Drosophila melanogaster: one gene and its partner. The protein of the gene in region 1 interacts with the protein of each later gene in a pairwise test. Each region holds a gene or a part of one and is shown in the gene's direction. Other genes may lie near its edges.

Evidence for each region. Proteins that work in one complex are often made in the same cells at the same time.
Region 2: the proteins of CG6023 (region 1) and CG6951 interact in a two-hybrid assay, tested with the Drosophila melanogaster proteins (one large-scale study listed by BioGRID).

The regions. Positions count from the first base shown.
Region 1 is NC_004354.4:18,312,441-18,319,629, reverse strand, and holds CG6023 (uncharacterized protein), read left to right. Parts: upstream 1-3,728; 5' UTR 3,729-3,897; coding exon 3,898-4,048; intron 4,049-4,293; coding exon 4,294-4,613; intron 4,614-4,693; coding exon 4,694-5,140; 3' UTR 5,141-5,506; downstream 5,507-7,189.
Region 2 is NT_037436.4:20,237,472-20,247,041, forward strand, and holds CG6951 (uncharacterized protein), read left to right. Parts: upstream 1-3,795; 5' UTR 3,796-4,069; intron 4,070-4,091; exon of another isoform or gene 4,092-4,213; intron 4,214-4,373; exon of another isoform or gene 4,374-4,432; intron 4,433-5,034; exon of another isoform or gene 5,035-5,326; coding exon of another isoform or gene 5,327-5,986; exon of another isoform or gene 5,987-6,264; intron 6,265-6,693; 5' UTR 6,694-6,695; coding exon 6,696-7,106; intron 7,107-7,466; coding exon 7,467-7,667; 3' UTR 7,668-7,841; downstream 7,842-9,570. Other genes in the region: CG17233 (uncharacterized protein), read right to left, coding at 1-439, 1,267-2,142, 2,392-3,024; Clc (clathrin light chain), read left to right, coding at 5,327-5,986. UniProt on the Drosophila melanogaster protein: Supplies the nucleotide substrate for thymidylate synthetase.

The DNA.
Region 1 (7,189 bases):
TGTACAACAGTAAAAACTTTTCACTTATGTTTCTACTTCATTTATAGAATATTTAAGAATAATATTGATGTTAAGTTACAATATCATGTTGTACGAATTCTTCACTTAATAAATATAGTATATATGTACATAAAAAAAAAGTGCTCGACCTTGAACTAATGATATCCCTATTTGTTTATTTTTGCAGTTAATCACCGCACTGAAATAAAACACGTCGCGTGACAAAACTGAGGTGAGTTCTAAGTTAAGTTGGCAGTTAAACTTAAGGTCCAACGCGGCGTATACTTATTATGACGTATACTTAATATGGCGTGGTAAACAAGCTAACAGGAACCTGGCTCAGGGAACCCCAGTGCGTCACAGCTCGCACCTCGATGACTTGTGGAAGATGGCCAGTGCCAAAAATAGGCACTTCTCTCACCTGTCCGAGCCCCTTGTTTTCGTACCGCATTTGCCTTTGCCTTTGATGGGCGGTAAGACTCTGCCCAAGTGCTTCCCACAGCGCTCCATTCATAATATAATGCGCTGGGCAAATAAGTGAGTGTGTGCGCCCCTCTCTCGGTTGGTAACTTGGTCGGAAACTCGGTCGTTCAGCCGGTCTGTGCCCATGTCTCCAAAGATACGTGATCCGAGAGATAGTCGACACTGCGATCCGGCCTGAATGGGAGGTGACGCGGCAAGCCGGAGAGCTGGGGTGCTGGCACGGGAAAGAGAGCCGGGTCGGGGCAGCTTCTAAACACAAACGCAAATACGGAGCAACGTCGCTCGGTGATTTACCCATCCAGCTATAGACATATGTATGATATCAAGCCGGCCAGAGTGTCTGTGGTCAGTTCGGCCCACTCCCAGATGACAGGTGACGGCCATCGAATTGGGGTATTTCCTCATGGCGATTCTAGATTCTACATTCACGTCACCGACCGTTTTATTCGGTCAAGGGTAGTCGATGGCAACTGGCATTTGGTGCCATTGAGGACTTAGTTTTAAACGCCCTGATTCACTTCGATCTTAACTAAGGTGCGGTCTTTCCACCACTGTATTTCCATACACCAATTATGTGGAAGTTGGCACAGTGGGAATTCTATTTGAATGGAGTAAATTCCATTCCAAGCGATAAAACATTAAGTATTTAAGTCGATGCGTACAGAACGAGAAAGATCAGTAACGGCTACTTCTAGAGTATAATAAAACCAATGCAAATCGAATGGTAATCTCCCAATAATCGAATGATTAACCTTGGCATATCGCACACATCAACCACATTGAGTGTGCCAAATTAGAACAGTATAAGGAAGATTGCAGAAATAATCCTTTCTTGACTCTCAGATGATGCAAATTTAAATTGAAATTTAAGCTATTATTTATATATGATTTCCCGGTAGTTTATGTACTTTATATATAATATAAAATAATCAGTTATAATGCCATACAATCTGAAATTGTCTTCTGTGTGGCAAATTAGATCTAGAAACTGATTGATATATTGTTCATATCCGAGTTGCATTAAACACTGTATCTGTTTAATGTTAACAAATGTAACTTTATGAAAAATGTAACTTTGAAGGAAACACTATCTTCTGTCGCGTGTGCATTTGGCTAACGAGAACTTACACAATGAACTTACACGTGCATCTTGGTGGTATATTTGCTAAATTTAAATATTATATGCCTGGCTGAGGCGATAAGTCTGAGCGATATTTCCGTCGCTGTAAGTGTGGGATGTTTGCAGCTTTTTACTACGCTGAGTACTAAGTACTGTCGTACGTCACTCTGGAAGAGCTCATCAATGGAATGGTCATTTCTAAAAAGGGAATGGCAAACAGGAACGAGCGATAGATAGCGGATCTCCCTCAAACCGGATGACGTTGCAAGTTTAGCGAGTTCAGGCCGAGATTAGTGCGTGGCCAAAGTTAGCACCTCCTCGAGTGCGATAATTAACAGTCAACAATGCCTGGATGGGCGCAAAAAAAAAAAAAAATAAATTATAATAATAATAAAGAGGAGGAAATCAATACATATCGAATCAAAAGGAGAAGGCACCCATCTAGCGCTGAACAAATGCAATTCTGGACTGACAGCGGGCAAACTGCATTGGAAAACCCTTGGACATGGCCTCCAGCTCGAATTCCGGAAAAGTTGGCAATTATGGATCTGCCCAGAGCAATTGGGTAAAAACAAAGCTCGAAAAATTTGCCCAACTGATGAAATACTACGCAGAAAACTCGACAAGGGAATACGACTCCCATGAGCTTTGTGTCCCATGAGTGGGTTGAACTACGTGCGTCTTTATGAGTAATTGCTATGTCAAAGTGTGAGTGCCATGTTGGGCTAGGTTATGTGCTTGCTCGATGCACTGTGCACTACTGTGCACTGGCCATAGAAGAGACAGACACTCTGTCTGCCGGTTGCCGGTGTCTCTTATACCCAGTGCTCGATCAATTGGCCAAGTCCAGCGACCAGCGGCCAGCGGCCAGCGGCCAAGTGGCTATTGCCAGTCAGTTGCATGCAAAACGCGCACGTGCCAAGCGATCGATCGGAAATGCCTACGGAACGACGCGTCATTTGCCAGGCAAGTGGCACCCGCATCATAAATCGCCACTTAGTTAAAGTAAATACAGTAAATCGAGTAACTGAAGAATCCGAAGTGACGCCGCCGCCACAGCAGCTAAGAGACACGAGATATTCGCAAATTAATCAAAGTAAACGCGATTCCACTTTGGCTAATTCAGCCTGATGGGCATTGAGACCAATGTTGAATTTACATATAGCCATTACAATTTCCGGAAAGCTCAGTATTCAGGCATCAGGCTTATCAAATTTCGTACAAGAACAGTGAAATTCCCCATAAAAAATGTGTTTGTTGTCAAAATGTTGCCTCGAGCTTTTTGCTTTGGGTGTTACTCTGTTAGCTTGAACACTGAGTTTGGAATATGTATACCAAACAAATTCCAAGAATCTATCAAACATGTATTAATCAGCTAACAAACAGAGCAATTGGCATGTGTCGTTAAACAGTGACTAAAAGCCACTCATAGACAGAGCTAAACTAAAATGTTTGCAGTCGTCGTCCTCCAGGCAGGCAATTTAAATAAGGATTCAATGTTGCGATTGTAAGGTCAGCCTAATGCCAGTTGGCAACCAAGATGCCCGATTACTTGGTGTAGGGTGCAAGAATGCAATGCGACATCCGTTTTGGGCCATGAAGCGTGTGTGCATAAATTACAACGGTTGGCAACTCATTTGCCGCAAGACAGGAAGAAAACAAAACGTCATGTGCAGCGCTGCAACAGCGGCATGAACTACTGACCAGGGAGTAGCTAATCCCCGGCTGAGTCAGGAAGCCCATCCAAGCCAAGCCAAGCCAACCCACCCACTCACCCACTCACCCCCACCTCCGATAATTGAGAAAACCCAAATTCGAACTCCCTTTGCGGGCCGTTGTTTTTTTGATTCATTATCGTCATCGACCATCGGCCGCTGATGCTGCCGTTGCTGCTGCTGTGGTTGCTGCTATTGCTGCTCTTGCTGCTTGCTGTTGTTGTTGTTCACTTGTCGCTACAACGAGCACAACAAGTGTGAGTACCCGCCGCCCGCGCGCGTGTATGTGTGTGTGTGCGTAAAAAAAGTAAGCTCGGCCACGCGCTGCGCCGCTCGTGCGGCTTCGGCTACTGATATCGCCGGATGGCGGTCCGGTTTGTATTTAAATCGCCGGCGTGTGCCCCAACTCCTCATTAACCGTAAGATCTCGCAGAGCCCGCACGCCAGCCCCAGCTCTCCAGCTATCCAGCTATCCAGCTCTTTAGCGCGCTTTCAATCTGAATCTTGGCCAAATATCGAAAACCAATAAGACATACTCTCCGAACCGTGTGTGCCTAACATCACAAATCAAATCAAAATATGACCGCCAACAGCAGTGCCAGTGAATCCTTCGAGCTCCAATTCTTGGAGCGACTACAGCAGCAGCAGCAGCAGCAGGAGCAGGAGCAGAGTGCTCCGGCGGCGACAAAAGCGTCCTGCCAGCAGCAATCCAACATCATCGGTCGCATTTGTAAGTGTGCATTAAGATCTAGCGCCTCTGAATCATGTCGCTCTATCTGTATCTTTGTATCTATAACTGTGTCATCGCTGGGCAAACAGGAAAGTGCTCATCAAATGATAGGGATCTTGGGCATTGAAGTTTTCAATCATCATTATCTTATTGGCCAAGCCTGGGCATCCATCAGGATTAGGGAGATCTTTTGAACATCTTTGTATGAATCCTATTTACTGACCTTCCATCTTCTTGCATTGCAGCTACCTCCAAGTGCTGGCTCCTGGGCATCCTGCTGCTACTCACAGTCGCCACTAGTTGGCCAACGGGGACAATTGCCGCACCGCGTCGCGCTCGAGGATTGAGCCTGATTCTGCCGCACCGCAATCACGCACGACTACACCATCACCACCAGCACACCAGGTCAATAAGCACCAAGATCGTGCCCCTGTTAACCAATCAGACTGAAGGCAGGGAGCAGTGCACGGACCTTAAAATGACTCCCAATATCGAACACCTGCAAGTGGCGCTCGAGGTGGCCAAGAATACGCGGGAGGCGGTCCTCTGTCTGACCAAAGAATGGGTAAGTTAGCTAGAACGATGGACTTGCGGCAGCAGAGGCACTAAGTTTCCCATTTCCCATTTTTTTTCATTGCGAAACAGCTGAGGAATCAAAACCACACCCTGCCCCAAGATCTTCACTCCTACTCTCTGCATTCCCTGGCATTGAAGCATCCGCTCCAGTCGGAGGTCAAGGAAGTTAAGTTCCAGAACCAGCTGGGTGACTTTGTGTACAGTGGCAAGGTGACAACGCTGCAGGAGGAGATGCCGGCCATTATCGAGTCCCTGCTGGTCCTGGAGCATCTATACGAGATCATTGTGTTCGATCACCAGTCCTGGAACTGCTACTTCAATAACTTCGTGCATTTCTTCCATCACAACATGCACGAGGCTCTCAAGGTCGCCGGTCTCAACGATGCCTGCAATCCGAGGAACGCCGAGTACAATGCCGATCACATATGGCCGATGTTTGGCGCCGCCGTGGAGACCATCAAGGTGCTGACCATCATCGAGCACAAGTACGAGCAGCTGATCAAGCTGTATCAGTAATCCGCTGGACAGAGTTGGACGCTCCAGAGGAGCAGTAAAAGCCATACCAAAAATAATCGCCTCCGATGACCCACTGCAATCTCAAGCTAATAGGCTATGCCCACGAGTATCCAGATCCGTATTCGTCTACTAGACACCCTCATCTGCCTTAGACCCTATTATTTATTATAACTTATTAAATCCCCATTGCCCTCATACGTATTTATATCGCCTTTGCATCCTATTTATATACATACGCGTACCACCATACTCACTGAACACATTCACCGCATCGCAGGCTCGATAACTTATGAAAACTATTACTTAAGTGTATTTTTTTTATATATATTTACAATATTACAATGACTATTAATAAATTATACCGATAGGCGCATACGTGAAGTGCTTTTCTTTTCTGGTTGACCAATTTCATCATTCAGATGAAATTAAGTTACAACGAATTGGGGGCTTAGTCAACGGTGGGAATTCTGCCAACCTTTCGAAGGTCTACAACATCGATTAAAGCATGGGTGGTCATAAGATGTTTCCATGAATTGAAACAAGTGGAAATGGAACAAATCAAAGGTAGAGTTCAAAGTATAATTCTCAATTGCATAGCTAGCTAAGTAAATCGCTTAATACTTAGGGTTTTTTGATTTTTCACTGTTTTTTTTTTGGGGACTCGCGGGTTTATGACCTCCAATGCTTGAAGTTGGCAACCCAATTACCACTCCCCCAAATCGGAAATACTGGGGAAGTATGCGCGAGATTCCGTTTTTGGCCCGACTCGTCACCTGCCCTGACCCACCCCATTGTCGTTTATAGCTCGTGCCCGGGGCACGTTCCGATAGATAGATAGATACATAGATAGATGTATGTACATACATATATATCGGTTCGAGGTTTTCCACAGCGCGGCTGTTAAGAAAACCCCAAGTACCGTACAGCCGTCTGGCTGTGACTCATGGACCATTAGGCAAAATGTCGGGCAATCGTCGTGTGATCTCTGCATGTGACAAAGCAGTTTGTACACGGTAAAAAAGTGTGATATCTCCCCAGTGGCGGCTTATCGGAAATGTTTTATGATCATTCCTATCTGTAGTTTCTGCATGGTAGTTCTGCTTCCTGCATAAAAGAATCGAAAAGCTTGATAGGGCTACAAAAAAGGTCTGCAGAGGGAAAGTAGAGGGCTACTTTCTTAAAAAGGGTTCTATCAAAACTAACAGCCAAGGAGACCATTATTTATTTTTTTTTTAAAGCATGCCTACGTACATATATCGTTTGGGGTATTGTGTTGCCTTCGTTGGGGCACCAAAGGACCAATTTTACCGTTGCCACTTGACTGGCTTCCCCATTCTTTGGGGGTAATCGGATCGGATGGTCAGGAGCGATCAAAGATGGTGGTGCGTGGGATGGGGACTCGGGGATTCGGATTCAGCTAGGGATTGGGCTGGGACTGCAGAGCCGTTCGCGTGGCAATGGCGTCAGTCGCCTCGAAAACCGATAGCTGTAAAAGCTGCCGCCGCAGCGAATTGAATCAGCGGCAGAGGCCGCCGCCGCAGCAGCAGCAGCAGCAGCAACAGGCGCAGCAGCATTTTCTCTGCTGCAGCGAGCTGAGGTTATGAATGAAAATCCAAGTCCACACAATGTTCCGCTCGACAACCTGTTCTTCATCTTCCTCTTCTCGTCGCTGGCCGCACACTGTACCTCTCTGTCTCTCGCCCTCTCCCTCTCTCACTCGTTCTCTGTGGAGAGCGGGAACCTGTTGCGCTCTGCTCTTTCACTCGAATCGGCGCTCTCCGCGCCTCACGTTTGGAGCTTCTTGGCCGCTCGCCGATTGGCCAGAGCGCTTCGGAACCGCTCGTCTTCGGAGTGACGCTTAGGGGGCAGCGGACCAATCAGCGACGGGCCACTGACACACATTCACAGTTTCACCGATGGGCCTACGTGCAACGGCCCACGCACACAAGTGCGTAGAATGGCATCTCCGCGCCACGCCCCACCGGCTCCCCCTCAACCCATCGGCCAGTGGGTCAAAACGAGCTCCAGCAAATCAATTAACAAACAGAG
Region 2 (9,570 bases), on another chromosome or scaffold:
AGGCAATGGGCTGAGGGAAGGCTGGATAGTATTGCGCCAACTGGGTCAAGTGTGACTGGGCCTGCGAGGACTGCAGGTGTGCCGGCTGTGGCAAGTGCTGCTGCTGCTGCTGCTGCGCTTGCTGCTGCTGGTGCTGCTGCTGTTGGCTCTGCTGAGGATATGTGGGTATGTTTATTGTGGCCGCCGGCGAAACGGACGCCGCATTGTTTTCCGTCTTGAGCGGAGCATTCCACTTGCTGTTGAAGTCGTAGTACGTGTTCTGTTGCTGCTGTTGCTGATTGTGCTGCTGTTGTTGTTGCTGTTGCTGCTGCAACTGATGATGCTGCGGCTCCTGGGGACTGCGCACATTGCCGTAGTCGCTGCTACTGGGGATAAGCGTTTTCTTCGGTTGGCGCTTGCGCGGAGTCTTCGCTGGTTTCGGCGGCGGCTTCACCTCCTCCTGCAAGCAAGTGTGAAAAGAATGCGGATTAGAACACTCGGGATCACCAAAGGTTATATGCAAACAGCACACTATCAATAGCTTGGACATTGGGACATTAGAAACGGTTGGTAAACGAGTACACTGGCTGGTAAAAAGAACAGTCTGCTCCCAGAACATTTTATGGGGTATTAACAACTGGGCTGCGAGCGGCATACGCGTTTGGTGCTTGGGTTTACCCCCATTAGGATTGGATCATACCATTACAACATAACGTCACAGTTTCAAAGTGGCCACATGACTTTAAACTAGAGAATATCAGTTAGCAGTTTTTGTTAGATTGAACCGAAGAATTTCAAATTAAGCGATTAATAACAGAAGGCCAAAGAAATAGCTTCCACCATAATACAAGAAATAATCGAAAGGGCATGCAAATTTTTTTTAAAATATAAAGCTACAGAACAGGGCTTTAACGAAATAACCTTATATTCGGGAAACTGGATACTTCTAGTATTTGAAAGCAAGAAAATCTAATTAGTACTTCTATAAATGTAGGTTTCAAATTCTTAATTAAAATAAATATTGGAAATTTTGCGTCCAAATGAGATTTTTTATGTAAGCTACCAATAGTCTGTTAAGGTACGTTTTGTTAATTCAAATTTATTTTTAGCCAATCAGAAAGAAAAAGCGCACAGTGGAACTAAATAAGAGATCTTCCAAACTAGTCCATTTAAGTTGGCAAAATCTTGGAAGAAATAGTGTGAAAAGCAAATAAAACGAAATAAAGGCAGAACACAAACAAATTAATAAACAAATAGAAACGGAAATAAAAAAAATTAAATACAAACCTTTGGCACTACTTGAATCTGTGACGCTAAGTTGCCCGCCGACGGCGACATGATCATGTTGGCCACCACGTGCTGGCGCCGACCGGAGGACTGGGATTGGTTTTGATTGTGCTCCTGCAGCTGCAGTTGCTCCCCATCGACCACGCTCGCGGGATAGAAGGTTTGCTTGATCTCCAGCCCGGGCGGTAGGTTGAAAACTAGATTTTCGCCACCACCACCGGCGTCCACTGAGGATGCCTCACTGGCAAAATCGAGCTGCCGATGTTCCTGTTTCACCTGCAGCTGCAGCACGTTCTTAATGTCCTCCTGCCCCGCTCCATTGTCCTCCAGCTTCGTCCAGCAGAGGTTCTGCTGCTGCTGCTGTTGCTGCAGGGTGCTTTGTATCACAGATGAGTAGGCCACCGTGGTGGGTGTGGCAGCAGCAGACGATCCAGCGCCCGCTTCTTGCCGCCTTTGCACAGGGGATGCCGTCTTGTAGACGATCACCTGGGCCTGCGGTGTGCTGACCACGTCCACCGCATGTAAATTCGTGATGGGCGATCCATCTGCGGAGCTTAGCGCCGGACTGGCATATTGCACCGGATAGGATCCCGCCGGAACTGGCACTGCCAGCGGCACCGGACTGGCATCCTGTTGGTCTACTATCGTTGCCCGATACGGCTGGCCATCCTTCCGCGTCACCTTGACCTTCCGGCCATCAATGGTGTAATAGGTGTCCGGTTCTGTGTCTGCCTCGGCGATCTCCTGTTGCAGTTGCTGGTGGAGCTGCTGCTGTTGCTGCTGCGCCGCTGTCTGTTGTTGCTGCTGCTGCTGTTGCAGTTGGATCAGGTAAATCGAGTCGTTGTAGGCTTTTAATTGCTTTTCCTGCTTAATCTGCTACAGCGCACCGTACATAGATTGAATCGGAATCGGAAAGTGTTTGGTTTGGGATTGATTCGACATAGAGAGGCTAGACTTAGTCTATGCTTTGATGGGTTTATTGGAAGGGATGTTATGTTAGTATGCGATAAATGCGATAGAGCCTGCGGGGTTTTAATAAGTGTGTGTGCTTCCCCAGAAGCTGGCGTAAACCATAATAGAAGAGTGATCTGAAAGCCGAACGTAAAACAAACGAATTCTACTCACCACTTTGTCGGCCACCAGGTTTAGCTGTTGCTGTTGCGCCTGCTGCTGTTGCTGTTGGGCCTGTTGTTGCTGCTGTTGTGCCTGCTGCTGTTGCTGCTGTGCCTGCTGCTGTTGCATGGCCAGGAAGGTGTTCGATATCATGTTCGGCGTGTTCCAGGTCAGCGACGTCGACGTCAGGGCCACCGTTGTGGGCGATGGTGAGGCTCCACTCGACGAGGAGTTCTCCCCGTAATAGTTCGAGGCAACATTGTTGACTACAGCAGCCGCTGCCGCCGACACGGCCGCCTGGTTCTGGAACGAACTGAGCTGCTTGTCCAGCGAACTGGGCAGCTGCAGCTGGCGGTGCGGCGTGCTCACCGCTGACGAGGCATAGTGGGCGGGCTTAGGCTGGACACTGGCCGCCGCCGCATGGTGGTAGATCTGCTGGAATACTGGGTTGTAGCTGCCAATCGGTGACGGAGGCACAAAGCTGCCACCACTGGCGGCCGCCGCATTAAAGCTGGCGATGCTTGCTGCCGTAATGGTGGCCAGGTGTGGATGCTGGAAGTCCTCTGCTGTTCCGCCGGAGCTTCCGGCACTGGCGGGCACGATGCGGTTGTAGGCGTATGACCAGGGACTGGAATTGGGATCCATGTTTGGCTTGGGCTCTTCTACTGCTGATGGCTGGTAACTGAAACAAATAGCAAAACTTTAGTGGTTTTTGAATATAATTAGCGGCTTATATGTAAAGGATTAACTAATTGGAGTTTATTATTGCTCGGATACATTTCCAATGGTCATGTGTTAAGTCTAAAAATCCCGCCCATATTTATCAATTTAGCGGTAGCTTAGATTATAACATATTTATATTGTTATCACAAGTTGCTTGCCATGGCATTCATAATATAGAGGGGAAAAAGGCGCGAATTCAATTAATGTTATTTATGGATCAATAATAATTACTATAAAATTATTGATATTTATATGTGGTCAAACATATTTTGTTTATCTTTTATTGTAAATCAATAAACACATAGTAGAAGTACACTTTAGAATGAAACACTCCAGTTTTGGGGTGTTTGTTCCCCAACTTTTCTGCACTGAAGGGATCCCCCTATTTTTTTCGTATCTTCATTTTTTTTGTATCCCTTTTGGCCACGATGCGCTTGGTTCCCCCTTCAAAAAAATTGGCGTCTGTATTTTTTGCCTTGGCGCTCGGCGGCAAGGAGACCGCATTTTTGAAGTTTCAGCGTCAATGGGTTAATGTGGGTGCTCACTTATGACATTACAATGACGGGGCCATCACATTGGCTGGGATTTATGCTGTTTTTGGCAATGTTTTTCTGCCTGGGAATAGGATTTTTTCCCGTATTTTCCGCTTGTACATATATGTATCCATGCACACAATCACACACACACACACACATACTCACACACACGGGCGTACATGCGTGCGTGTTGGAAGATAGTCACTAACTTTTAGTCGTTATAGAATCGGAACTGTCGGTCTGCTCGGGCCCAGCATTATCTTCACATCGGATCGGCCAGCACAACAACGCTTCAATATGCACGAGCGGATTTTATGTTTAACTAACAGCGAACGTTCTTTTTTTTAGATTCGGTGCATAACTTTTTTGTGGATGAAACAATCTCCAAAATGGCCGCTCTGCTGCCAGTGAAAAACGAACCACTGGCTCAGGTGAATGATGCCACGGTGAACTTGTTCATCGGTTCACTAGTTCGCGCGCCGAGTGTTTATTGTTTGTTTTGCCGTCGTCCTCGCATTTCGTCTTTGTTAATTTCCTCAAAAAGTATACTGCGTCTTGTGTTCTTCGTGGCATAGGTTAGTCAAAAACATAATTAAGTCATGTTGTGTGAACAATTCACCGTGAAATTTGACCAGCAATTATATTCCCATGTGCTATGCAATAGCAACAAGTGTTGTATAATACGCTTTTTATCGGGTCTACAGTCATTACTAGTTAACTTTGTTGTGTATTTACATTTTACGAGCATTTATTAAGGCACATTTGATAAGATATAAACAAATTAATCGTAACTCCTCTGAAGGTTGTGTTTACTGAACTCGCGCGTTTCCTAACACTGATCAATTGGAACTAGTTGATTTCAAAAACCATGAGAACTTTACAAAATCTGAAAACAAAAAAAAAAATAAAATAATTCCAAACTTAAATATTATATTAAATCTAGGTTTTATTAACTATATGTACGGTTCTAAATTATATATGAACGAATCAAGCCACCACCATTACACATTTTGCAACACTAATTGACCAGAAACCCAGTGGAAAATTGACGCTGCTGATATAATTTAAAAGTTTAGTTAAGGAAAAATTAAATGTTCTTACTTTGGTTTTTTCAACATACATTATCATAAACTTGTAGCTTAATAATACAAAATGTAGCTAAATCTTTAACTCGTTATCCGTGATGTTAAGGAATGTTGAATTCGGCTTTGACAAGTAAAATAGTTAACAATGGTTTCTGTTCCTTAAATATTACTAATTTGTATACATTTAAAAGATTTGGCATAATAACTGGTGTAAAAAAATATTTATTTTTTAATATAAAAATCATAACATTAAATTTAAAACCATCGCGTTGCGATATATGTTGCATTATCCAGCACTGTTCGGCTGGAACCAGTTCGATAGCCCGCTGTTTTATGGTTGGTTCACGTACTAATGACAGTCATTTTACGTATTCATTGCTAAAAGAAAACTGAAAAAATACATTTGACCAAGTTTCCGGTTAGTCATCCGCCCACACCGATCTTCAATTAGTCCTAACCGAATCAAAGGAGAGGTGCGTAGTGCCCAATTGTCAATGAATCGGGGGGAATCCGCCAGCAGCTGGCTGCTCCTCTGCGTACGTGTAAATCTGGGTGAGACGCCCACTAAATAGCAATCACAACATTTCCAGAGAGCACATAGCCATGGACTTCGGAGACGATTTCGCTGCCAAGGAGGACGTGGATCCGGCGGCCGAGTTCCTGGCGCGCGAACAGTCAGCTCTCGGGGACTTGGAGGCGGAGATTACGGGTGGATCTGCATCAGCTCCTCCGGCTGCATCCACAGACGAGGGCTTGGGTGAGCTTCTGGGAGGCACCGCCTCCGAAGGCGATCTGCTCTCTGCTGGCGGCACGGGTGGCCTCGAATCCTCCACTGGCAGTTTTGAGGTCATTGGTGGCGAGTCCAATGAACCCGTGGGCATATCCGGTCCGCCGCCGTCGCGGGAAGAGCCCGAAAAGATACGCAAATGGCGCGAAGAGCAAAAGCAACGACTGGAGGAGAAGGACATCGAGGAGGAGCGAAAAAAGGAGGAACTCCGACAGCAGTCCAAGAAGGAGCTGGACGACTGGTTGCGCCAGATTGGCGAGTCCATATCGAAGACCAAACTGGCGTCGCGGAATGCCGAGAAACAAGCCGCCACCCTGGAGAATGGCACCATCGAGCCGGGCACCGAATGGGAGCGCATAGCCAAGCTCTGCGACTTCAATCCCAAGGTGAACAAGGCGGGAAAGGACGTCTCCCGCATGCGATCCATCTACCTGCACCTCAAGCAGAATCCCATCCAGGTGCAGAAGAGCACCTAGGTAGTTTTAATTACGCACTCGCCTAACCACATTGAGTTGAATATGAAAATTATTATTGAAAGTATTCGCTGTATATTCCAATTTATGATACATAAAATATTATTATTGCTGCTATAACATAGCCGCGATCATCGTTTTGTCTAATGAATGCAATAAAGAATGTGCACACAGTTGTCATGCTTTCCTTGACTATCATATACCCCATCACACAAAATAAGAAAAACGACATGAAAAAGTTAGGAAAAAGAACAAATAAAAAATAAAACCAAGGATATGACAACTAAAGTGTTTTTTCGTTCATTTTGTTAATCAAGCAGGGTTGCACATCAAGGGGCTTTAATTACTTCCAGTTTTGTTGTAAATAATATTTATTGCTCTATAAAACGCATTATACAAACCATTTATTATTCTTATCTCTAGTTAGTTATACACATACAACTTGTTTTCATCATATATGTGTGTTGGAAATATCAATGGGTTGGAAATGGAATATGGTTGTGTATGGATTTGCATTCATTAAATGATTATTAAAATAAAGACATACAGACAACTGAGGCAAGTATTTGTCATTGCAGAGCTGGTTTAATGTATGCATTATATGAATGAAATACGCATAAAGAAACCAATTACGATAATGAAAAGTGGATATCAGAAATCATAATTTAATTATTTCCATCGCTTAATAAGGTTTTCTACTTGTTTTGCAGAAATGGCTGAAGTTTCCGCTCAAGATTTGATATCCCAGTTGTCGAAGTCACCCGAAAGCCACAAGAGAAAGGAATATCTGCATTGGGATGACTACTTTATGGCCACCTCACTGCTCTCCGCCAAACGCAGCAAAGATCCCGTCACCCAAGTGGGCGCCTGCATCGTGGATTCCCAGAATCGGATAGTGGCCATTGGATACAATGGGTTCCCTCGCAACTGCAGCGATGACGTGTTTCCGTGGTCAAAAGCTAAGAAAGGCTCGCAGGAATTTGATCCCCTGGAAGACAAGAAGATGTACGTGGTCCACGCGGAGGCCAATGCAATCCTGAACAGCAACGGCATGAGTTTGTCTGGAACTCGACTGTATACCACACTATTTCCGTGCAACGAATGTGCCAAACTCATTATACAGGTAAAACTAATATTAACGAAGGAAGCCGAATATAGGATTTCTGTTCTATTATTTGAAATGCAACTTTAATATTTTCATATGGCAGCTGTATAATTTAGTCGTCCTATTTTGATAAAATGAAAAACGAATTAATATATGGAAAAACAACGGTTGTGTACAAAATTACACCAATATATGATCACAAACATGGAAGCACAATCTTTCCAATAGTTTCACGGCTTCAAAAAGGTTTTAAGTTTTTCGTTAAAACGAAAGGACGACCAAACGGACGGCAGCTTTATGAACTCATCTTCTAAAATTGATCAAGAATATATAGTACATACATATCATAACATATAAATTAACCTATTTGTATTCCAGGTGGGCATATCTCAGGTGCTATATTTGTCCGACAAATATGCCGATAAGCCCACATATCGTGCATCCAAGCGGATGCTGGATGCAGTGGGCGTGGAATATAAGCGACACATCCCCCAGAAAAAAACGATCACCATTGATTTTGACACCTTCCCGGAAGAAGATCCGAATGCATCCCTGGGACTAAACGAACTCCATTTGTAATGTACTAATACAATCTTAGCTATCTTGACAACTTTTAATGTGTTTAAAGTAAATTTGACGTGATCGGACTAAATATGTAGACAAATGATAAATAAATTTAATAGCATGCTAATTAAGTTATACTTAGTTTGGCAGTACTAATATAAATAAAAAAATACAGTTTAACTAAAAAGCAAAACGTAAAACGATGTTCTTTTCTATCTGTGAGTCAGAAAAATGCTTCGGAAAATGAGTTCCCTGTAATCGATATTAAAATCAAAATCCAGTAAATCATTGAATCTGACCACTTCCTTTGACGTTTGTTCAAATATGTTCGTAAAAGTATAGTCAAAATCAAAAGCAGAACTTATCTAGATCCCAAAACGTACATATTCTAACCTAATAGGGAATAAAAAACAATAGTTTTTCGTTGAGTATTGCTCCTTTTTTGCAGAGCATAAACGATTAGACGCTTCATTTTATCCGCACGCAAAGATACTTAAAATGTTTTTTAATTAGTACCCATTTGGGAAGAGTGTTCACTTGCACTAATTGACTTGGCAAACAGAAGACTGTCAGGTGAGACTCTTAGCATGCACAGGTGTCCACCGGAGACCAAAAGCGCCATGGAAGTGCTCTACTCAGGTAAAAGTACATGGTATTTTCATATTGAATCTTGGAATTAAATCCCATAATTCATTCCTAAAAAGTTAAATTAATAATTATACTGATCGAAAATTAAAAACAGGGTATATGTGTAATGGAAACTACTCTGTGCCACTTTATAGCTCCGTAATTAAAGGACCTTGAAAATTCTATTGCTGGCCCACACATTAAATTAATTAAGTTAGCCACTTTTGAACTTTGATGTTGTGTTGGCTAAAAATTCGCATGCAGCCATTTTAAATACCGGGCTGAGCAAAATGTTTATGGGATGTTTTTCAATGGCATGCCAGCACGAAGGAGCTCCCACCTGACCAACCAGCCAACCAGGCCATTCAGGTGAGAGTGGCGTGCGGCCAACCGGCCAACCGGCCATTAGCACTGGAATATGCAAAACAGTGCGCGAAACAGGACGAGGATGCCAATAAGAAGAACAGCGAGGATACTCGACCTATCGGAAATCGCCGAGTGACCCTTACTAGCCTCCATGCACTATTGTCTGCAGGCTGCATTGAAACGTGTCCGGCGGATTTCAATATCGGGCCACAAGGTAAGAACCGGTTATGCAGAGAAGATGGGTCAAGCTGGCTGGTAAAGTAAAGTGTTTTATTGTTGAGGTGGAAAACGAAGAATTAGAGTTTTCGTCTATTTGACTTACATTATTCTTTCCTACACCTAAACTAACTCAACAATTCCACTAGCTAAAATCTTTCCGGCTTAAAGAGTTCTGAAGAAGTGGAAGTCTAAGGAACAACACGGACGACCATCTAATCGTGTATCTTAGGCATGTAGAATCAGGGGATTAGTATCTGAAAGGCTGTGTATCTTCATCTGGCCCGGCTTCTTGTTTGTATTTGTATGCATAGAATGCAGACAAAGTTTACCAATTGCAACGGAAACTTGTGCCGCACGCACATCTGCTAACTGAATTTGAAGTGGGACCGAGCATTCCGTAATCACTAATAGCAGGTTAGCCGCTCTGGGCCCTAATTGCCATTAAAGTTAAAGCTACGACCAACGAAAACCCCAAAATCGTGAAACCACCGTGAAGGAGCAAGGGGACAGCACTCATTTTGGGGCTTTCGTGAGTTTCAGCTACAAAATCCCCTCGAGGCCGGAGCCCCAAAATCACACAGAATGGCCAACGGAAGGCTTGGCGGCACTTGGACTATTAAAACACATACGAGTATACGACACCCCAAAGGCCATGGAACCGAGCAAATAATCAATATAACTACAAGAACGGAACCATAACAGAGCT